Neodiprion lecontei: one gene and its partners. The protein of the gene in region 1 binds, or shares a complex with, the protein of each later gene. Links are inferred from orthologs where the notes say so. Each region holds a gene or a part of one and is shown in the gene's direction. Other genes may lie near its edges.

Region 1 (6,338 bases):
CCCACGTAAGTCGCGTCCGCTACGGCTACGTGGACCTGTCGCCGTATATGTAATTTGCAACTTGCTCGCGGGAACGTGTATGTACCACATGGCTACGTCTATGTAAACATAAACCAACTTCCCTAGGTATAGGTATAATGACATTATTCTTAATGGTGTAACTTTGCGATGTCCCTTGGTAGCCCGCGGATAATTACAGCTAATTGTATAACGTACGCAGAAGGTCAACCCGGAGGGAAGCTATTTACAGAGGCAAACCACGCTGCGTACTCTGCGCTGATAAAGTTTACTTTTCCAAATTAGAAATTGTATTTTTACACAAGGGACGTGCTCGCCATCGTGTGAAAATATTTGAAATTCAACAACATCGTATTGTAGATAATACGCTGCAGTATTTATATTGTGGTATAACCTGTACGAGAAAAGAAAACAAAACGTCCGATCCTGGATACAAAATTCCTTTTTTTCGCTTAGCTTGTAATAAATGTTTAAAATTTCCAATTTGTGTAAAATTATAATGCTTTGCCGAGATAAAGCGTGTGATCTATTGCAGTGAGTTTTCGCACGACTGTACAATATGCAAAAATCGGTGTTACCATTTATCGTTTTATCCGAGCCCCCCACCTATCCTGCGCTAGAATTCTTTTCACGCGCTGTATCGTTTGACGTGGGTGCGTGCCTCCGGATGCGGCAGCGACTCCGATCGGGCCTCGAGGCCCCCTCGAGGATTTTGCTGACGTAGACGATGACGTCACACCAGCGTGAGACCGTCGGGACATCATTGTCACAGCCGTACGCCTCGGCAATTCTGGGTAGACGTGATTAGAGAACCTCAAGTAAGAAAGGTAAAAAAAAAAAAAATTAACGTATCGAGATCACTGCGCCGGACTCTCCAATGACTTGCGGCTCTCCGTATACATGTATAAACGTATACGCAGTTATACCGAGGTAATAAAAATACAGAAATTTCGACCGTCAATGTAGGTACTCGTAAACAAGTTTTTGGAATAATTCTAACCAGCTAACGGACGTCGAGGAACCATGGGTAAACGAAGCCGACGGTTTTTGTGGTAAAGGTGAAGGACCAGAATGAAGGAGAGTCCACGTTTATGGTATACGTAAAGCGGGAGGCCTTTAAGGAGGCCTGTAATAAAGCTGGATAAACATCGAGAACAGTAATGGTTGGAAATACGTTGTATTATTGTGCCTATGCATATAAGGTGCAAGTTAGTTTGTCGGGATACACCGAGTCATTCTTCGCCTCCCCACCTCTCGCTTTCATACATGATTCATCGACGATGTACGCGACCACTTACGCGCAAGTTTTGTTATTCCAATACGATGTTTAAAATCCAGACGCGTTTTGCATACGCGATCACCTCTGTAATAGACTGCAAATGCAATAATGTATTAAGTGCCGCGATTCGCGAATCTGGGTTCACAATATTTTACACTAATTTTACACTTTCAATTTCACGGATTTATAATAGCGTATGACGTATGTTAATTAACATGACCTGTATAGATATATGGTTATACTCATTGATTAATTTTCGTTGAAATCAGAATGTGGGAAACAGTTGGCGGTTAACATTATGTACGTAAGCTCGTAATATTTGTAAAAGCTTATCAGATATATATTAAACAGCATTGAACGAAGAGCTCTACGACCTACCTAATAGTAGGTATTGTGATCGATCTCCGTACGATGAAATTATGCAGGACTAACGCTTGCCTAATATAAATATTATGGATAATATGTCTGATGTGTACGTCTTATACAGCAGCGTAAAGCACACAAGCTGCGTAGCCACTTACACGGACGATAATCATCTGTCGATCGACAACTTGCAATAAACTTATCTAATTTCTCCCCTTGGATGGATACGTATAACGCATGATGTGCAATGCATACGTATGTTGTACGTTGGTATAATACCTGCGTTTTATCGTGATTAGTAAGTGCAGGGTGAGTGCAGATGGAATACGCCGTGGCCGTTTGTGGCAAAACATCGCGTGCACCGAACTCAACCGGGCTTATGACAATATGTGTAACCTTCCGTAGGTAGTTCTTCGTCGAGCGTGCAGATGAGTTCGTCTAGAGGAAAAACAAGCACATCAATTAGTAGTGAGTAGCGACGTGACTGACTTGAGTTAAATACTCCTCGGCGATTAATTATATCCACGATGTTTACAACAACTCGTATATACATAATACATACAGGCATATGAAGAGTTATGCGTCGATGACCCTTGTACAACTTCACGCATCAAGGGAAATCGAAATAAAGTTGAAAAAACACTTGTGTGGGCGTATCATGGATATCGTCAAATAACAAAATTGATTTTCCAACGTTCTGCGAGATACCTCATCAACTTTTGGAAACTGGATACGTAAGGTAAACGTTTGAGAAAATTAAGTTGTATCAATTGGTATCTCACGAAAATTGTACAATCGACAATTCTGTGTAGACAATATTCAGAACTGTGTACATATAATTCGATACAAAATTCGATTTTCAAGCCAGATTTGGCGTGACTTAATTGTCGAATCGAACTTGTTACTCCGTGAATATAGACACAAAGTACAGTTTGTCGGAAAATCCGTGTTCATCGAGTGGCGCTGCTTTCGACGCGTCCAGCCCGCCGAACTTCGGCCGTTGAAACGATGTTTATGGTTTGCCGGTGCTTGTGAATTTTTATACGAAAAATCCATCGGCATCATGAAATTAGTGAGGTAAAAATTTGCCGATAATTAATCATTCCGTCGATCGAAGTTTTAGATTGCTATAAATTCGGATAGTTTTTTTTCTTAACTACCGTGTGATTGTAGATACTGATTTAAATCCCGTACCTAACCTGCCTCTATGAGTGATGTTGCAATTACGTTACGAACACCGTTAATGCAATGAGTGAAAAGACACTGGATTAATTGGGATATTTCGTGTTTCAGATTTTTGATGAAACTCAGCCATGAGACGGTTACGATAGAACTGAAAAATGGCACCCAAGTTCACGGAACTATCACAGGTTTGTAAACATAACCTATGCCATTTGACTTGACACAATCAAATCACAGTTGGAATAGCGTACAGAGCAGGCCGCTTCTCTTTTGTCTCCAAGTGAAATAGTTTTTGCAGATGCATGACAAAAATGTTTATTTTTAAGGTGTGGATGTGGCCATGAACACCCACTTGAAAACTGTGAAGATGACGATAAAGAACAGAGACCCTGTACAACTCGATACGTTGAGTTTGAGGGGAAACAACATTCGATACTACATTCTGCCTGATTCCCTTCCCTTGGAAACTCTGCTTATCGATGACACGCCCAAGGCTAAAGCAAAGAAGAAAGAAGCCGCACGAGGTCCTTATAGTCATTCAAGTTTTGCGGCCTTTATGATCAATTTTATTTATGTTTTAGTATTTTCTGTGACTAATCTTCCTTGATTCAATTTTCGACACATTCAATCCAGACTTTGCAATAGTATTCTAATACATATCGATGATTTCTAATCCTTGTTTTTCTGTACTAGGTGCGGCTCGTGGAAGAGGCCGTGGTGGACGTGGCGCTAGAGGTGGACGTGGAGGTCGTGGCAGAGGAAGAGGCAGGCGATAGTGTTTGAAATAGTTGATCCATTGATGATTTTTGAGAAACGTAACGAGGTGTTGTATTCTGCGATTTCTCTTCCCACGCACCTCGGTGAATTACACCACTGACCAACGTTTTATATTCTTAAACAAGTCTAATACCAATGCATTCTAGTTTAAGTTCGATAAAAACGTTGATATCTCACAGACATGAAGTTAGCCTGTAAGCCTTATCTGACGTAATAATAAAATGAAATTCTTTTTTTTTTTTTTTGTCAAAAATCAATCATCAAATCTTTTTTATACACAAAAGCATTTTCGTATTTTTAATTTAACGATATTCATTCATCTTTTGGCGTGTGTTGCAGACTAGGTAATTTAATGCTTAGCCAAGTTGTATGGAAATAGTGAATTTTATTTCATGATTACGTGATTATAGTATTACGCGATAGTATTGCAAATTTTCTATTACTATTCAAATAAAGAAACTAGCCGAATTTGACGTTACCGCGTCGTATATAAAAGTGTTGTGGATCGGCTTGCATTGATTAGTTATGAATTTTATAGTCTCCTGCGCAGCTAGCCCTCCTAAGAACGCCGACACCGAATGTAGTTCAGATCCGCCGTAACGGCAAAATTCATGGACGTAGTCATCCTTTGCCAATGGCCCACAACCCCACTCCATCAGCAATTTTGAAATACAGGCCTGAGTACACATACAAACGTAGAAATATGTTAGATATTATGAAAGCTTTGTTTCTATTGGTATGGTGGCCCTAAAAACAGATTTGAAAATTCCTGTGTTGTCGAGAATCAGAATTAAACGATTATAAAGAATATACTTGGATCTAATCCCAATTCTGTTCGCACACATCCCAAATGTGATAAGTTATCGCTAGTTGAAACATACTCTACTATTTACAAATTTTAACTTTGCTCTACGCTAGGCTTTGAAATAGTACCTTAAGTTTCACAATATCTGGTTCAACGTGATCGTCGAATTCGCCTGGATACGAATTGTATTCCACCTGGAATTTTTCGATCCCTCTGAGTACCACGTAGTACACCATCATACTTTCAGGATTTTCTAGACTTTGAGCTAAAAGAGTCAACATTATTTACATGAGCTATATACAGCTGAAAGTAAAATATGAATGAAATGAAAGTAAGGCGTACTCATTTCGCTGGCATCCACAGTTTTTGGATCATACTCATCCGCTATACAGGATCCCCTTTGAATGTAAATGTTAGAAGCATGTCTACAAAATAACTTGACATCTTTTTCTGTTATCGCATCCGAGGGGCGACCAATCTGTCTGAGCAAATGGACTGTTCTTCGCCAAACTGCTTCCGCATCTGCTGCGGCTTGTTTGTGATACCTGAAATTTATTATACATTGAGATGTCCGTTCGGCACTTACATTAAATTCACGTACACTCACACTTGTTGCAGGGATATATATTTTTCTGTATCTGCCGTCATGTCTGGTACAGCACCTTTGAGTGGCAATGAATTTGAACCATCATTCTCCATGAAGTCTTTTACAGCCTTGGCGATAATCCAAAAAGGTTTACTCTAAAATTTTCATCATTATGTTTTGTCCGAAATGTGTCGAAGTGCTCAAACAAAAAAGAAACGATACTACCTTGGCGGTAAGGTTTATACAGCAATCGTCATTCAGGACCTCCATGACGCTGGGAGGTACCTCGTAACGTCCAACGCTGGTATTAACAGCTTTGATTGCTTCCTCAAAGTTTTCCTCATCAATAGGATTATTGTGCTCATCTTTTCTAATACCACTCCTGATCATATCTCTTAGCTGCTGTTTCTCCTTATAATTTTTTGGTACATCCCCATTCTCAGATATCCACTTCTCAAGGTATTTGTACAGAATCACAACATATGGAACGTGAGTGTGATCCTTCAGGTCCAGTTCGTCCAAATTTATTGAATCAAAATGATTTTTCAATGTTTCAAACGGATTGTCCAATCGCAAATCAGGTGTCTCGTTGTCCGGGTGAGTTTCTATGACAGTATGTTCTCTGGTCTGAACTCGCATGTACGCGATAAAGCCCAGGCTTCGGCAGACTATCAACGGGATGTCCAGGTCCCACAATATTTTTGACAAGCGAATTAGACTCCTGGAGGCAACAAGATATAGTAAAAATATGGATGATGATCATCACTTCAAAAAAAGGTAGCAAAATATTGATGCATACTTCTCTGGGAGTGCAGTAGTGATAACGACGGTGAAATTATTGAAAAAGTCCGGGCTATTTGATAAGATTTGCTCAGGGCCCTCGTCGACGTAATCGCCACGTACATCGGAGTTTAGTTCAAGAAGAACTTGAGTAGCTATTTCTGCCCTTGATTTTCCAACACTCTCTGAATCTAGAAAAAAACTGATGAAATTATATTAATTACAATGCGATGTTCACTGTATCACGCATTCCCTGGAGTGACCAAACTTTAATCTTAGCATCGAAAATACAAACAAATAATTGAATGAGGGACTGACTTCGCTCCAATATCATCGTCGCTGATCTTCTTGCTGTCGATTATTGTGAATGCCCCAATACCAGGCAAGACGAGGGATTTCAAGATCTCGGTACCCAGCCCGGTTGCATTTATCAAACAGACGTGGGCTCCTTCGAGGGCAGCTTGTCCGTGGTCCCCCCATAACCTGTTATTTGAAGCGATGACTTATTTAAAGGATCATCCGAGAGATGCTGCTTCTCAATTCAGTAA
Region 2 (9,878 bases), on another chromosome or scaffold:
CCAGCTTTGTCATATCACATGAGTAATGTGGTATAAACATCAGATAAAAGTAAATTTTTACCGTGGATAAAGATTGGGGTGGGCGTTGCAAGGGTAGCCACAGTGTGGTTTCCAATTGCAGATTTATTTGGTCAAAAGAAACCCTTGCCTCTCCAAGCAATCTCTCCCTCCGTATACGCCCAGTCCACCAGTACACCCTCAGCCTGACACCCATCCCATTCACGTCTTCAGGATTAACACGATGTAGCAGAAAGCTTTCCATGTATTGCGGCGTAGTCCCTTGACGGACTCTGGTTTTGCGTCTCTGTTTCTTAGATGGCAACAAAACCAAACGAACCTGACTACCACCTATCATATTCGGATAATTCCGTCCCTGCAGCACTTGAACCTGCAACAAACAATGCCACATTACCTTTAAACCAATATGATCCGATGAGGCAATCTGACTTTATATATCTATTTTCTGATTATTGGATAATTGTCAGCGCCGTTACTAATGAGTGTCTTTATATGGCGAACAGACCGTCATTTCACGCATCGGCGCGTCGTATATCAACGCCACCTCCAAGCTGTGAATTTCCTCCGCTTGAATCGGTACAGGAGATTCCTTGTGATGATTCAAACATTGCTGCCGGTCTGCTTTATTTTCCTCTTCCCTTTTATCTTTAATGTCCATTTCTTCGGTTCCAATCGCATTGGGGGTACCCACTTCAACTACACACTAAGAAATTTGATTATAATTCACAATATGTCGGTTAATGACTCATTCTCACCGATATTACGGTGTGTAAATTTCTGTGCATGATTTCCAACCTTGTTCCAATATTTTGACGATGTGCTAGAAAAAAATGGAAGTGCGAGACAAATTCCGACGCATGATTCTCGCGGAACTGCTTTACCCAATGTGGTGTAGGATATAATGTCAACCGAATATTGGGCATACCTGTTGCCGATCCAGAAGTGATTTCTCTTCTGTACCACTGCAGCTCAATACCTTTCCAACATCTGCGTTATTTTTTAAGGAATGAATATCGTGTCAAATATAATAAAAAGTGACTGATTCAATTTCTGTGTACACTTTGTACATGCAAAGGATGAACGGGTTTTTATAGAAACAGCAATTATTAGACAAGTTAGAACTTGACTTGCCTGTTGCCCCGGGACCATCTGCTGTTATGGCAAGGCTGTCACGTGAGAGATGAGATCCAAAATTAGGCTGACGCAATGCTTCCTCCTCAGATTCTGAACTTGTCTCCACATCCGAATGGAAATCCAATGTTTTGCCTGGGTCAAAATTGAGTTGCAGTACAGGTGTGGAAGTAATACTATTTTAATTTCAGTAAGAACTTTTGAAATCTCGATCATTCTATTGCCTATTCAATGATGGGAATAGTTTTTCCTTTCTGTAATACTTTGCATTGGTAATACATTTTTTTTATTTAGTGCTCAACAATCAGACTCAATAATTGAGACAATCGGAGATGTGCGCAGCGCAAGAGAAAATCATAGAAAATCCATTTCAATGGTTACTAAATTGTTTGAGTTACCAAGATTCGTGCTGAGTTGGGATGACGAGCTGTTATTAGACTGGCAAAAAGGTACGCACACGCCACCAAAGTAAGTAGCAGGTGGGGAAGATGTGAAACACCATTTCCGTGACAAGTAAAGGAAGAGAACCAGCAGGAGAGCCCCGAATCCTGCGACAGCACCGAGAAACGCCGCTGTCTCGACCGATACTGCAAAGGCAATGAGAATTACAGTTGTAATGCATGTATAGCTGATTACATTGCTTGTGTGACGGTAAAACTGAAAGTTACATATCTGCGTGTGCATGTTACATTATAATTGAGCATGCTGATATCAGTCCATTCACTAGGGTAAATTTTTGAAACAGTAACAAGGACCAAGAATTGTAGGTAGTTGGTTGGGTTAGCGAGCGTTCCAGGAAATGTGGAAACGACTGTGCACGAATCTGGTGAAAAGCAAGACAACAGTGGACTCACCCGGCAGAAAATGGTCCGACCCAGCAAGAATCATACTCGCTCAATTCGTAATTCTATAATATGCTTTATACATTTATAAGGTAAAAAAATCTTCTGTAGGACAGAATTCATGGCTCGAGTAGCTAAGTCGTCAGGGTAGCGCTGTCGCGAAATACGGAAAACTTTTTATTTACAAACAACAGCGGTCCCGCCCCCTTAGCGACCCTGTGCGCCGGGCAACGCACACGATCACTAAATACTGATATTTATTACCATTGCACACCGCATACCTACCCTGTAAAAACGGACGCCGCAAGCGCGTGCGGTCCACCTGACGCAAATGTCAGGTTAGAGCTTACTGCGATGTAAAATAGGTTTTGTCTTGATTATTACTTTATTCGTTACTCTATACTATGCAGGGCAAGAAACAATGCGATTTCCGTTTTTATGTACTTTTAAACGATCGTATTCAACAGTTTCCTACTTGATTGATTTGAATTTTGAATTGACAGTTTTGAGCAATCTCAAAGCTACGGTTTCAGCCCGGTAGGGCGGCGCAGCGGTTTTAACTTAACTGTTGCGACCAGTTTGTCACAAGGTGAGTGTAATCTTGTGATTTGATTGGTGCCTCGTGAGCCCGCAGATTGGACCGTATGCGTATGTGACGTCGTTAGCCACTCCCCGATAATTCTAGAATTTAGTTACTAGATCCGATCGCAGAATGTAAGCACAGCTAGATGCAGTCATGGTGCCGTCTCACGTAGGTACGTACGGATCGCCGGAATCCCATATGAATGAACGGAACGGGGTAGATTTAAATTTGTGCTATTCAGCTTCATTTGTCTGTTTAGATCATGATCTGTAGACGCAGGTCTGGAAACTCCGGCACTTTTTTGGAGTGGGGGGTGTGTAGTCTTTGGTGAAGGAAGATTTATTCAGTCCCTGTTATGACCACCAGAGTCGTTGCGATCTAGAAGCTTTGGACACCCAACACGTTGACTGAGCAATATATCATCAGTCAACGCCTAACATGACGAATTCATCTCTGCAACCCTCCGTGTATCGTGCCCTTGTGTCAGCAGCAGTGTTACCGACGCTACAGCACGACTTCAAGAATTGGCTTACATCGTAATCAGTGCAGAGGTGTAGATGAGGCAATTTTTTGAAGATTACTCGGCAAACGAGGAAGGCATTGGCACATGTCATCGGACTGGCGAATAGCCGTTCAGGAAAGAAGAAGAAGAAGAACGAAGAAGGCATAGGATTTCGTATGTAGAGGTTAGGAGTGGTAGGCATACAAATGACAGCGTGAATAGTTGGTGTTACTTTACTAGGATAGGACTGGTTTTGCGCTGAATTTTTGGTTGAATTTTACGAGAAATACTGCGAAACTGACCGTAATTCAGAAGCAGAGAGGATCGACGAATGTAGGTGGCGACTTTGCTGCGGGCAGAGGTGTACATAGTACGTTTAAGGGTACACATACACGTATAAAATGGATGGAGCACTTGGGAATGAGGTTAGTAATACTTATGAAATTAACTCAATAATAACTTTCCATCCACCATACATCGCTTCTTACAGTAATGTCGTAATGTCTTTATATGAAGTGGTGAAAAATTCTATTGTCAAGTCTGTCAATAATAACGTATTATCTACCGTTGACCGAAGGTTGCTGATATAGCCAGCCAGATAAATCGGATTTTGATGCTCGGTGCGACTAAGTGAGAGTTTTCGAGGGAAGGTTGGGTATAGAAATTTCCTGTCGATAATAGCTTGATCAATATTGTAAAACCCCTAAGTGAGACAATAAATGTAGGCTAGTAATGGCATTACCTCTGTGCCCAAGGTTACTGTTTGCTTGCTCCAAATCAATACCTGTGACTGGCTGTATTTAGCAATCTTCAATCAACGGAAGAGACGTAGCATTCTACTTGTTATCCTATACCTTGGTTCGCACCTCGTGAAGAGATGTAGACACTGACTGTTTCAACATACTGCATTTCCGTAAATCTAGACTGACTTGAAACTGCTGCTAGTAGCTAGGCCAAACCAGTGACTAAAGCCTACAGTTATGAGTTCAATCATAGATTGGTTAAGAAACCAGTTTCAGCGCTCCGCAACGACATGTTATGTCCCTGCACTGTGCTTCTTCTTTCTTCCCCGCTCTCGCACTTTCAGAGGGCTTCTGTTCGAGGTCTTTCCACCTTGTCTTTTGACTTCAATGTTGAAGACTTTCTCGTTACCACTCAATCTTGATTAGGGTTAATTGGCAAAAGATCAGCCACAGAAGTATAATTTACATGATATTAAAATCGGTCTATCTACTTGTGTACTTTGTCTTTTTTTTTGTACAAAATTCCTGGTTTTGTGTTTGTGAGACATTAAATCAAGAGTGAAACTATATATTTCAGGCACAGGGACAGCAAATAATACTGGATCCTCGTCAGTTAAGGCAAATGGAACAGCAAGAGATTCAGAAACAGCTAGCAAGCGTTCCGTCTTCTGTCCATCATTCACACCCGACTATACCGAAATTGACTACCATGGGAATGCCGTCGGTTGCCGTTGAAATACCACAAGCGCCGTTGCCCAGTCTTCTCAATTTAAAGATTGCACCTCCGATCGAGATGCAGCTCTCTGGAACTCCAGAGGAGCATGGTAATAAGGCCGAAGAGGTGCGTGATGGCGACAATGAGGACCTCTGCAAAGAAGGAAGAAATGGTGTATCCGACATAGTGAGCACGACCAAGCTTCCTGTTGCTTTGGAACAGGCGCTTGCATTGAAAACTGAGAGAGCCAAGGAGCTGGGCGGTGATCTGAACGACGACCACGATAACAGCGCTCACGGCCATGCAATGTTTCAAACATCGCATCCATCTAACCCAGCTTCTGACTTACGCGACAACTTACTACCAGACTCGATTCTCTTGGAGGACTTACTTCCGGAACCAGACGCACCACGGGTTCGACAGGATGTGAGGGGAACCAAGAACCGCAAAAAGAAAAAGAAACGGAAGAAGAAGAGCAGCGATGAGAAGAATGAGGATGTAAACGAGACCAGGACGCCTGATGTCAAGGTCAGGAACATTGACGACCCGCAGATTGAGTACATCCAAGAGATCCCGAGTATCAATGACTTGGAACCAATGTATCGTCAATTTGCCAGAGTTTTTGACGCGTTCAAGCTGACGGAACCTGAAGTTCGCGGTGGCACGGGCATAGGCCAAAATGCAACAAGTGATAAGATTGAACCCATTGGCCAGTATCCACCCTTGACAAACACATTGGCAGCGGGTCCACTTAGCAAAATCCCGCCTATTGACGACTTTGACGACGACCCATCCCAGCAGAATCAGCATAATCAGCAGGGTGGAGGCCAGGGCACCGGAGAAGGAGGCACACCGCGTCTTTCTAAACGCAAACTGAAGAGGCTAACGCGCCTGAGTGTGGCTGAACTGAAGCAACTCGTCGGGCGTCCAGATGTTGTAGAGATGCACGACGTCACAGCGCGGGACCCCAAACTTTTGGTGCAGCTGAAAGCTCATCGAAATACGGTACCTGTGCCAAGACACTGGTGCTTCAAGCGCAAGTACCTACAGGGTAAACGAGGCATCGAAAAGCCTCCTTTCGATTTGCCTGATTTTATCAAGCGTACCGGTATTACGGAAATGCGAGCGAGCCTTCAGGAACGGGATGACACACGCACCTTAAAGGCGAAAATGCGAGAACGGGCAAGGCCGAAACTTGGCAAAATAGACATTGACTACCAGAAACTTCATGACGCATTTTTCAAGTGGCAGACAAAGCCCCGTATGACTATACACGGCGATCTCTACTACGAAGGTAAGGAATTCGAAACGAGACTGAAGGAAAAGAAGCCCGGTGAATTATCCGACGAGTTACGAACAGCTCTGGGAATGCCGGTTGGTCCGAACTGTCATAAGGTACCGCCACCTTGGTTGATCGCTATGCAACGTTATGGCCCTCCGCCGAGTTATCCAAACCTCAAGATTCCTGGTCTGAATGCGCCTATACCCGAGGGATGCGCATTCGGTTATCACGCTGGCGGATGGGGTAAGCCACCCGTCGACGAGACGGGCCGCCCGTTGTACGGAGACGTATTCGGTGTTGCCAGGGCGCCAGGGGTCGATGCGATGGACGAAGAAGTTGATCGCGGTATGTGGGGTGAGCCGGAATCAGAGTCGTCGGGTGAGGACGAAGACGAGGACGACGCCGAGGAGGGTAATGAGGGTGACGGGATTGAAGGAAAAGAGGGCGATGCCGGAGATGCAAGTGGCTTGGTTACACCCGGTGCCGAAGGCTTAGTCACACCGAGCGGTATTGCGTCAATTCCGGCGGGGTTAGAAACACCCGAAACCATTGAGCTCAGAAAGAAGAAGATTGAGAGCGAAATGGAGGGCGGGGACACGCCTGCGCTATACCAAGTTTTGCAGGAGCGTCGCGCAGAGGGACTTGGGGCAAGCATGATGGGAAGTACCCATGTGTACGATATGACTGGTGCAGTCGGAGGTCAGGCACCCCCCTCCGTCATCGCAGCTGCTCGTAGATCTGGGGCCGTTGGAACAAGCGCATCGGGTGCCGGCGGAGGTGGTCTAGGAACAGCGGGTGTCGGCGGTAGTACATCTGCCGAAGGTAAAGGTGACAGGGACGCAGCTGTTGAATTGGCGCTTGATCCAAGCGAGCTGGACCTTGATTCAGAGGCAATGGCTTCACGTTACGAAGAGACAATGAGATCGCGCCAGGCTCACCTGCGACGCGAGGACTTGTCCGATATGCTTCAAGATCATGTACAAAGGCAAAAGGTGATATTCTGAATTTTTAGTAGAAATTATTGTAAATCACAAATTATTGTCATTTTACTGTACCGGGAGATTATCTATTCGATCTATTACGATAATTTGCGTTGCCAGTGCTGTCCTTCCAGTTATAAGCCAATTGCACGTGTTGTGTAACCAACACAAATAAGCGTACCCTTTTAAAGATAATCGCCAGGTATGCTCAGTCGCGGTGCATACGTTACTTTCAAGTGACTCAAAGCTCACACCTAATACGTTATTGTTGCAGAGCAAGAGAAAACGTCAGCAGAATCAGGAGACCAAAGCATCCAAGAAGTACAAGGAATTCAAATTCTAATTGAAACCTGTCTCGTCAACGTATCCCCTAATCATATTCCAAAATTGTTCATGTGTCTACCGTATGTATGTCATTCAAGTGATTCAATACTTTCACATTATATACGAACTCTATCTGAATTATAAAATGAATGCGATCATTTATATCACTTTGCCCACCATTACGTGGGCTACATTATAATTGGCCAAAACTGTATGCATACACCCGGTATGTCCCTGTACGCCATTCGGCTTGTGCAGGGCAAGAGAGGCAATAGATTTGTGAAAGTGATTGGGCGCCTGCAGCCTGGCTTAGGATGTTCAATAGAAATCCGCGCGAATGCATAAAAAACAAGGAAAACTGCAGAATACCTTACCCAGATGTAGCTGGGCCGAGTTCAAACCTCAGCTTGCTGACTCAGCCCCCGACTGACAATTGTTAAGAGTTTTCGCGCAGGTCCTCATAGTCGTGCTGGGGATTTGAACTCAATTCCTCCCGATTCACAGTCTCACACACCTGTGCGCGACACTACTCCGGCCGGTAGTACATACATACATCATACGTAATTTTATACAGTTGTGTAAAATCCCCTTTTTCACCACGAAGAATTACTGAATTTCATGCAACAACAACAGTGCAGGGGTTTAAGACCGATGTGGTTCGAGCTTGTGCGTAATTTAAAACTAGCTAAAAAATAACGCAGGTTGTACTGAAATACGTATCTCTAATATTATATTATCAATACAATAATACTTTGGTTGGTGCACTTGTATGTACTGCATACTGTACTGTAACATGACATTATGAATCCTATACATGTTGCTTAATCTGAGAATGGTCGATTTTCCACACACTGTACGTCACCAGGAGACGCGAAATATGATAAAGAAGTAGCATCAGACAAGGTAACGTCATTGCGATTACAAATCTGCTAATCGCACTACCAATGTCCATCCAGCTACCTCGGGGTGTAACCGTATGCATGACTTGCAGTGTTAGACAATCGGCAAGGAGGATTGTCGTCATGAAAAGGTTTGACGGTGCAAGGGTCCTGATACCACACCCAACAACCAATAGTGGAATGCTGGTCTTCAGGACGATCAGAGTACACATGGTGAATGGCGAGAATACTGTAAGAAAATGTCTTGTCCATGTTGGGTCGAACGAACTAATGCTTGCTATGTTTCCAGTACCAAAGAACCCCAGTAGCACGTACAGCATCTGAGTCCGAATGAATAATAACATAACATGTAAGAAAAAAGAGTATCTAAGGTTCCGACATATCTTGCATGCACAATCTGATAGGTGCAGATAGTGCTTGAGCTGAATATAAGATTACCAATGATGTGTACAAAGCTTGAAGCAACTTTAAATTTTACTCGCACCTCATACAGCAGGTAAAAGGATACAAAAAATCCAGCCACCAAAAAGTCTTTCACGCTGATGGTTTCCTTCTTCTTGAATCCCCACATTTTACAACGTTTGTCAGTAGTCATAGGCCAACAAAGAAGATGACCCGTCAACGCGATAAGGAAGAGTGGCTCATACGATACGGAGAGTAAGGCAAGGGTTGGTAAAAATGCCAAACTTACTCCAAATATTCTACCCTTGACTTCAACCGAATAAGCGCATATGCACAACGGCGTAGAGATTAATATTAGCCAGGACAAGAGGCTTCGACCATCCACGAGTCCCGAAGATATTAAGGCTGTTGTTGTAAGTCTTACACCTTCCACGGCCTTCAGAGAAATATTCATGTGACGATCGTCGGCGGTAATCACTGTCATTCCTCCAATAACCAAGGCCAGCAAGCTGTTGAAGAAATACTTGCATTACTTTCGTGACACATGGTCACGTGCGTCATATACCATAAGTCGGTACGTAATGTAATACTTGAAACATTACATTACCACTTAATGCTCAAAGTGGATAAGGTAAAATTCTTCCTCATCTTTCTATGACTATCAGACAGGACAAAGATCAAGCAAAGGGAATTGTCTGACAGATTCTTACACGAGATGTGTCTGTGTGTCGGGGCCTACGGTCGGTAGTAGCGGAAAGGCGGCCAAAACGATTGTTGTCCAGGGAAGAAAACGATCCGCGTCCTTGAAGAGAACACCCTGTATCACGCACATACACAGAGTCGCTGCTCCGAATATCCACCTCATCGTTAAAGCAAAGGACATAATCGACGTCAGAGAAATCGTACAACCTATCCAATACCATCCGCCACGGAACGATGGACAAGGGTTAGCGCTGAAACTTCGAGTGGCAAGCCATGAAGAAAGCAGTGCCAATAATGCATACCCTTGCAAACGCCATCCACTTGTACCTGAAACTTTCGATTATTTAACAAACTTGTCCGCTGCAAAAGTGCTGTAAAAAATTCGGCAGTCAAGTAACTAGGGCCGCTTACCTCTGTGCACAATAAAGAGAAGGATTGAGGTGCACACGAACAGGACATCCCAGAGTAATACCAATTTTGGGCGATTCTCATCGAGCGAGATGTTAGTGATTTTGAGAAAGAGCAGCATGATCCATCCCAGCCATGAAATTGTCAAATAAAACATGAGCCGACCTCTGTGATACTCGCGAAAATAAACAAGAGATTCCTTGGCAAGCGACATTAGTCCTTTTCCTTCGTTTATCGCTTCCATTGTCTTGCCAGCTGTCAAGAGATACTCGGCTCGGTGAATTCCCTGAGAAAGACTTGTTTCCCTTAGGTGTGGCTCGCTATCGGATCCGTGACTGAGCACTCGG
Region 3 (6,311 bases), on another chromosome or scaffold:
GCATATTTAACAGCCTTTTTTACAATTTTCTGCACCTCAGCATAAGGTTTGATTCCCGCATTCCAGGGTATTCCGTGAAAATTGCGTGTTGGCCAAGCGTTAGTAGCTTTGTGTTCAGCTGGTAGATCCGCCCAAGCGTACGGCGGTTTGAAGAGAATGCGGCTCAAACCCGATGAGTTTATGTTTGATGCAAAGTTCCTTGGGTATAAATTTATCGTTGGGGCCAACGAAACTTTGAATGTCCATGATCATCTCCATATTGCAAGTTGGAACAGTGCTGTTTGTTACGCTCAAATTGCTCATCTGTCACACAAAAATTCAAATTTGTTGTATTCGCCTCCTTGATATTTCATTCGTAGAATGCCCTCGATTATCGTCTTTTGCATGGCGTTGAATTGCACCACATCATTTTCCATGAGGCTTACAATTCGTGGGGGTAAAAATATTTCGAATTGTTCATTGAGCGCGAGAAGAATACTCGTGCCGTACTTAGTATTTACGCGCCTTACCCCCGTCACGCTGTACTCCTCCCCAACCTCCAGATCTGACATTCTCTTGGTGGGTAGCGTTTCCAGGTGACAGACGAGGTTGATTTTATTTAGATCCATCACGTTCGATGTAGATTTTATAAATTTGACGTACTATGGATACTGAAGTTCACAATGGGAAAACTTTGAGAACAATATAACGTGTTGAATGAGCTCGCGATTTATATACCAACTAACCACACTCTCCCCCCTAATAAATTCTTGAAAGCGAAAGTTTACGAATCATCATCAACATCCCCAGCCTATCTAATTGCGGCATCACCATCCGGTCAATTAACACAAAAAAGTGTATTCGAAGTATGTGAAAAATATTATTTTTCGCTCTGGGGAGTAAAACTATTAGCGTGAAAGTTTAAGAATCGCCATCAACATTCCCGACCTATATGTATAATTGTGGCGAACATCCCCAGCTTTACTTAAAATTAGGTGTAACTGTAATTCGAAATATATATATATATATATAACTACAATAAATTCTATTAATATTTTTCGAATGTAAAATTTTCCCCCTGGGGGGTAAACTATTAGCGTGAAAGTTTACGGATCGTCATCAACATTCGCTGTCTATCTAATTGCGATGTCACCATCCGGTCGATTAACGTAAAAGAATGTATTCGAAGTACGTGGAAAATATTATTTTTCGCCCCTGGGGCAAACTATTAGCGCGAAAGTTTACGGGGTAACGGTGAAAAATCAAAATGACTGTTCATCCTGCCAAGAAATAAAACACATTATCAAACTGTCTGACGATAAAAATCGAAATGGCTGCTCATCCGACTTAGCAAAAATCAAAATGGCCGCCGTCAGACGGTAAAATCGGTCGATTATACTGGTGACGTCATAGCGAAAATCACATTATCAAACTGTCGGACGATGAAAAATCAAAATGGCTGCTCATCCGGCTAAGCAAAAATCAAAACAGCCACCATCAAAATGGCCGCTCGTCTGACTAAGCAAAAATCAAAATGGCCGCCATCAAAAAATCAAAATGGCCGCCATGGTCACGTCAACCGGTTACGTCACATGGTTACGTCACCTGGTTACGTAATGTTTGTTTTGATTTAGAACTGTCATATCCTATCTACTTCCGGCTAAGCAAAAATCAAAATGGCCGCCATCAAAATGGCCGCCATCAAAAAATCAAAATGGCCGCCGTGGTTACGTCAACTGGTTACGTCATGTTTTGGGTTAGAAGTGTCGTATCTTATCTACTTAATGTAGAAGTTTTGTCTTTTCAGGAGATAGGGTTAGACCTAGCTCATGCAAGTTTTGGTTTACTTGTTTTGCCGCGATTTCAAGGTTATCTTTGCACAGTGATAGAGGTTCGTCGTAGGAGATCAAGGCGACGTCGTCAGCAAATTGTGAGGCAATAACATTTTTTGGCAGATTATTGCTTATGTTTGATACATACAGGGTGTACAGCAAGAGGCTTAGAGCACCCCCTTGAGGTACTCTCTTGTACACTTTTCTTGATTCAAAGCCTTCCACATCTGATTGAATGATTCTTTCGTGTGTATTTGACACGTTATTTCATCACAAAAGCAACAAATTAACAATTTGTACGTGGCTCCTGAACTTAATCTGTTGATCTTCAAGAACTCAAATTTCTCAAATAACAACGAACGTTCGTTAAGATGGCAGAACAATCGGTTGTCGATTGTTTCACATGGCGTCACGTGAGTAAAACGGCTGAATATCGACAATGAAATACTCGCCGTTGATTGAAGATATTTGGCGAAGTCTTTACCACTTCGTTTGAAAGTGTGCATGATGCGATTCAGATTTACTCAAACACTAGAAATACCAATTTAATGCAGGCCGAGATTCGCATGGAAATTATAATTGTAAATAATCTTTTGTTACTGGAACTGCGATGGACCGTTAGTAACGGAAACCAATTTATACTCATAATTTACAATTATCGCGGTAACTGCGATTATTTATTTCAAAGAAAATGTTCAGCTGAATTGTACTTATTATTATTAACTTACCTTTTCGATATAATTGCGAAGAATTTATTAGGAAATATAGCGGAATTCGTTATACCTCCATCTCCTTGCTGGGAAGCGTCTGAAAACAACCGCCGATCGTTCCCGTAAAAGTAGGAATGACGGAAATGTACCATGGAACGCCGGGACCGAACTATCAGAATCTCACTTTATCGACGACCGTATAAAAAGAATTCTTTTTACGCTACGCTTACGATTTTACCCAGCGTCGTATACGAAGAGCTCTTTGCGGATCGTGTTGGCGTTAACGCGACAGACGCGCCTCGCCTTGCTTTCATCGTTAAAAATAAACATGGCAGAAAACGAAGCGTCAGAAAAGCCAAATTGCACGTTTTTGTTCAAGAAGCGAAAAATCCGCAACAACGCAGCAAGAAAACGGAAAGAAATTGTGGGAGAAAATGGTGAGACGACTCTAATTAAAATTGTGCTTTCTAATCAGAAATGATTTTTGAGGATCCGCCGGATTGAAACGAGATTTTCGTATCAGACCACGCGTCATAGGTTAACTCTCAATATGTTGTTATTGAAATAAACCACCGTATCACTTGCAGACGATAGCGAAGAAGAAGCAGTCACGGTTGTCAAAAAGGAAAAAAAGACCGACGTTCAAAATCCTATGAGACAAAGTGTAAGAAACTATACATATTTTTTCCCCCTGTTATTTTGTTTCAGTCATCTTCCCCACGATTATCAACTGTGCTAACAGTAAGATAAGTTTAAAACTCCAACAACCAATCACTGTTTCAATTTCTGCAGACAAGTATCAAGAGGCAACGACCTGTAATAGGTGAAAATGACGAGGAAGCCGAAGATGACAGCGTCACTGTCTCTTATAAAAGTAAGCGGAATGTGATGCCCGCAGGGCCTAGCGATCAAGGAGCAACGGCCATTCTGGAAACAGAGACAGAAATCGACAGAGATGCCCAAGCTCTGTTTGAAAGGGCTCAGAAAATCAATGAGGTATTGTAACTGAAAGCAATTTTGTTTGTTATAGTCTGAAATCTGGCAAAATTTTTGGTGTGTTGCTTTGTGATCTAAGGGTGCCATTCAAATTTCTTTGCTTATACCAGCGAAATATATAACCGTAAAGGTATTCTAATTGTCCTTGAAATCTTCAAGAATCCTTTATTGGTCACTTTTTCATCTATTTTTCTATTACAGGAGTTGGAGGGCAAAGAAGACGACAAAGTATACCGTGGCATGAACAATTATGCTCAGTATTACAAAAAAAAGGACACTGCAGCAGGCAACGCGTCCAGTGGAATGGTGCGCAAAGGACCCATCAGAGCACCAGCAAATCTCCGAGCCACTGTAAGATGGGATTATCAGCCAGATATCTGTAAAGATTACAAGGAAACGGGTTTTTGCGGATTTGGAGGTGAGAAAAGAAACAGATTTTTCACTCTATCCAGTTTCGACGAAACTTTTACTGTTTACCAGACTGCATTAAAAGGGCTGCTCAATCATATGAATTGCAGTAAAATGTCGCCTCTAAGGTAATCTCTTCTATTCCCAGACAGCTGCAAGTTTCTCCATGACAGATCCGACTACAAATTAGGCTGGCAGTTAGAGCGAGAGGCAGCCAGTGGCGAATATGACAACAGCGGTGACGAGGATGACAAGAAATATGAAATAGACAGCGACGTTGACGATCTGCCATTCAAATGCTTCATATGCAGGAACAGATTCACCGATCCCATTGTCACAAAGTTTGTAAAATTTGATTTATAAACAAAAATAGTCAGATCCAATTTAACAACGGAGAAAATTATCCCCAAGTGTTTCTTAATGCAAGAGCAATTTCTAAATGACGTTTCAATCACTTTTTCAGGTGCAAACATTACTTCTGCGAAAAATGCGCCCTCGAACAGTACAAAAAGAGTACGAGGTGTTTCATTTGCAACGTACAAACAAACGGCATGTTCAATCCAGCCAAAGAGTTGGTGGCGAGAATGAAGGTGGAAGAAATGGAGGCGGCGGAACAAGAGAAGGCCGATAGCGATTCTGACTAGTGCAGATCCGACTTTGTGTAATACTTTAATTTAGGTAATTAATTTCTAAATTTTAATTCCTTCGAGTTAGAGAGGAAGAGGGAAAAAACAGGGGCGTCGCCGTTTTATTGTTCTTGAAAACATAAGCATTGTTGGTGCATCCGAAGGTGTACAACAACAAGAATAAATAAAACCAGAAAATATTACATTACAAATAACAGTGAAACAGCGAACTGATATGCACGATGCATTGCGGTATACCTTATGTGTTCTACGAAAAACTTGTTCATCAAAGTGCGAAAGATAACATCACGAACGATACACTCAATTTTGTTGTAAGACAAATATAAAAGATGAAAAAAAGTAATAATAATTAAGATACGGATAATAATGGACGTGTATATTTAAATTTTCTCATTGTCTGTACAGTGAACCGCGCAGCAATCAACTTAAACAAATTTGCCCTCTATTACCGGGTGGCGATGTAACAACGCGCGACGTAGGACAGACTTCGGACTACATATATGTATATCAATTGTCCCCAGTCCCACACGTGCTCAGTCATCGCGTGGCAGCCTTTGCAAACGCTCATTGTTAGCCGAGTATCTGCTCCCGACGGATCGCCGCCGCGTGTAGTCATAGACCCCCGGAGTTTTACGATCGGCTTTGTTTACCAACGGCTGAGTAACGAGCGCCACCGAGGCTTACGGGCATGTATTTTTTGGCCAAGAGCGTCTTTCTTCCCCTTTTATTCTCTCTTATCGCGTCTCTGAAAAAATGAGTGATTACACCAACTAGTTATTATCTAATCTACTCGTAGAGACCTTCGGCTCTGAATTTCGGAAACAAGCTTCAGAGAAGCGGGCAAATTTCACGTCAGTTTACTGAGATCAGTTGGCGCTAAGTTTCACGTTTTTCAGCCGTCTAAAGTGTCTTCAAATCTTCCATTCGCCTTGAGATTCGGGCAAAATAGGAGCGGTGAGAATCCAGTGTGAAAAGTGCGTTCCCTTATCTCTGCAAACGTGACCACGACGACGACGACGATCAAGAGAGCAACGACCGAAACTAGTGGCGCACTAATGCGTCCTCGTAAAAATGACTAGACACTGATAAAAAGTAAAACAAAACCTTCACCTTCTGGAGGAAGGAAAGCTTCAAGGCTGCTATTCAACACTGATCGCGTTTCTTTTCGTTCTGGATATATATAGAGCAAAAACAAAGGGCCAAAGAAAAAGTGGATGAAATGCTGGATTAGTAAGGTATTTTCAAATAAATTCGAGAAATTGAATGAAAATAAACGTTATATAAATTACCAGTATAAGTATAATGTATACTACAGGTATTTCACAGATCTTATCAACTTGTCTCCGCAGCCCCGATAGCACTCACTCAACGTACATGTATACTGTGTAAATAAATTTCGATTTATCTTTTCCGAGGAACTGATTATGCAGCTGCAACGTGACCGTACCGATTCATCCGTAAATAGATACGCAGGTTTGAAGTCTGCTGGGCGCGGGGTAAAGAGGGCGAAAAATTCATGCGGCAGGTATGGAATCGCGGTTTTGATAATACGGAGCGACACGATCACTGCACGATGCGTGTGCAGCGAGCATCTTGACTGCGCAATTCTTTATCTCTCGGCCGGTCCCCGCTACCTACTGCAATTACGGTATCCGTCCTCATCAATTAGCAAACATGACTCGCTCCCGACGTTTTTTCTCCCCTCGAACCGCGTAGGCGATATTATCACCGCGACTTTG

The links. Proteins that work in one complex are often made in the same cells at the same time.
Region 2: probable small nuclear ribonucleoprotein Sm D1 (region 1) and splicing factor 3B subunit 2 share a complex: the UniProt entries of both Homo sapiens proteins name them as parts of the minor spliceosome. The link is inferred for Neodiprion lecontei from reciprocal best matches to the Homo sapiens genes SNRPD1 and SF3B2.
Region 3: probable small nuclear ribonucleoprotein Sm D1 (region 1) and E3 ubiquitin-protein ligase RNF113A share a complex: the UniProt entries of both Homo sapiens proteins name them as parts of the minor spliceosome. The link is inferred for Neodiprion lecontei from reciprocal best matches to the Homo sapiens genes SNRPD1 and RNF113A.

Annotation. Positions count from the first base shown.
Region 1 is NC_060261.1:43,621,283-43,627,620, reverse strand, and holds probable small nuclear ribonucleoprotein Sm D1, read left to right. Parts: upstream 1-2,578; 5' UTR 2,579-2,723; coding exon 2,724-2,737; intron 2,738-2,953; coding exon 2,954-3,030; intron 3,031-3,168; coding exon 3,169-3,366; intron 3,367-3,535; coding exon 3,536-3,618; 3' UTR 3,619-4,065; coding exon of another isoform or gene 4,066-4,296; 3' UTR 4,297-4,427; downstream 4,428-6,338. Other genes in the region: NEDD8-activating enzyme E1 regulatory subunit, read right to left, coding at 4,066-4,296, 4,553-4,689, 4,767-4,969, 5,032-5,165, 5,236-5,731, 5,810-5,992, 6,109-6,273. UniProt on the Homo sapiens protein: Plays a role in pre-mRNA splicing as a core component of the spliceosomal U1, U2, U4 and U5 small nuclear ribonucleoproteins (snRNPs), the building blocks of the spliceosome.
Region 2 is NC_060266.1:53,912-63,789, reverse strand, and holds splicing factor 3B subunit 2, read left to right. Parts: upstream 1-2,833; 5' UTR 2,834-3,250; exon of another isoform or gene 3,251-3,316; 5' UTR 3,317-3,477; coding exon 3,478-3,501; intron 3,502-4,396; coding exon 4,397-6,808; intron 6,809-7,070; coding exon 7,071-7,139; 3' UTR 7,140-7,928; downstream 7,929-9,878. Other genes in the region: synaptotagmin-14, read right to left, coding at 62-388, 524-721, 944-1,005, 1,150-1,284, 1,548-1,736, 2,004-2,037; GPI ethanolamine phosphate transferase 1, read right to left, coding at 7,929-8,339, 8,504-8,930, 9,132-9,456, 9,535-9,878. UniProt on the Homo sapiens protein: Component of the 17S U2 SnRNP complex of the spliceosome, a large ribonucleoprotein complex that removes introns from transcribed pre-mRNAs.
Region 3 is NC_060263.1:16,653,662-16,659,972, reverse strand, and holds E3 ubiquitin-protein ligase RNF113A, read left to right. Parts: upstream 1-2,806; 5' UTR 2,807-2,849; coding exon 2,850-2,958; intron 2,959-3,108; coding exon 3,109-3,185; intron 3,186-3,313; coding exon 3,314-3,517; intron 3,518-3,718; coding exon 3,719-3,935; intron 3,936-4,073; coding exon 4,074-4,266; intron 4,267-4,388; coding exon 4,389-4,569; 3' UTR 4,570-4,766; downstream 4,767-6,311. UniProt on the Homo sapiens protein: Required for pre-mRNA splicing as component of the spliceosome. As a component of the minor spliceosome, involved in the splicing of U12-type introns in pre-mRNAs. E3 ubiquitin-protein ligase that catalyzes the transfer of ubiquitin onto target proteins.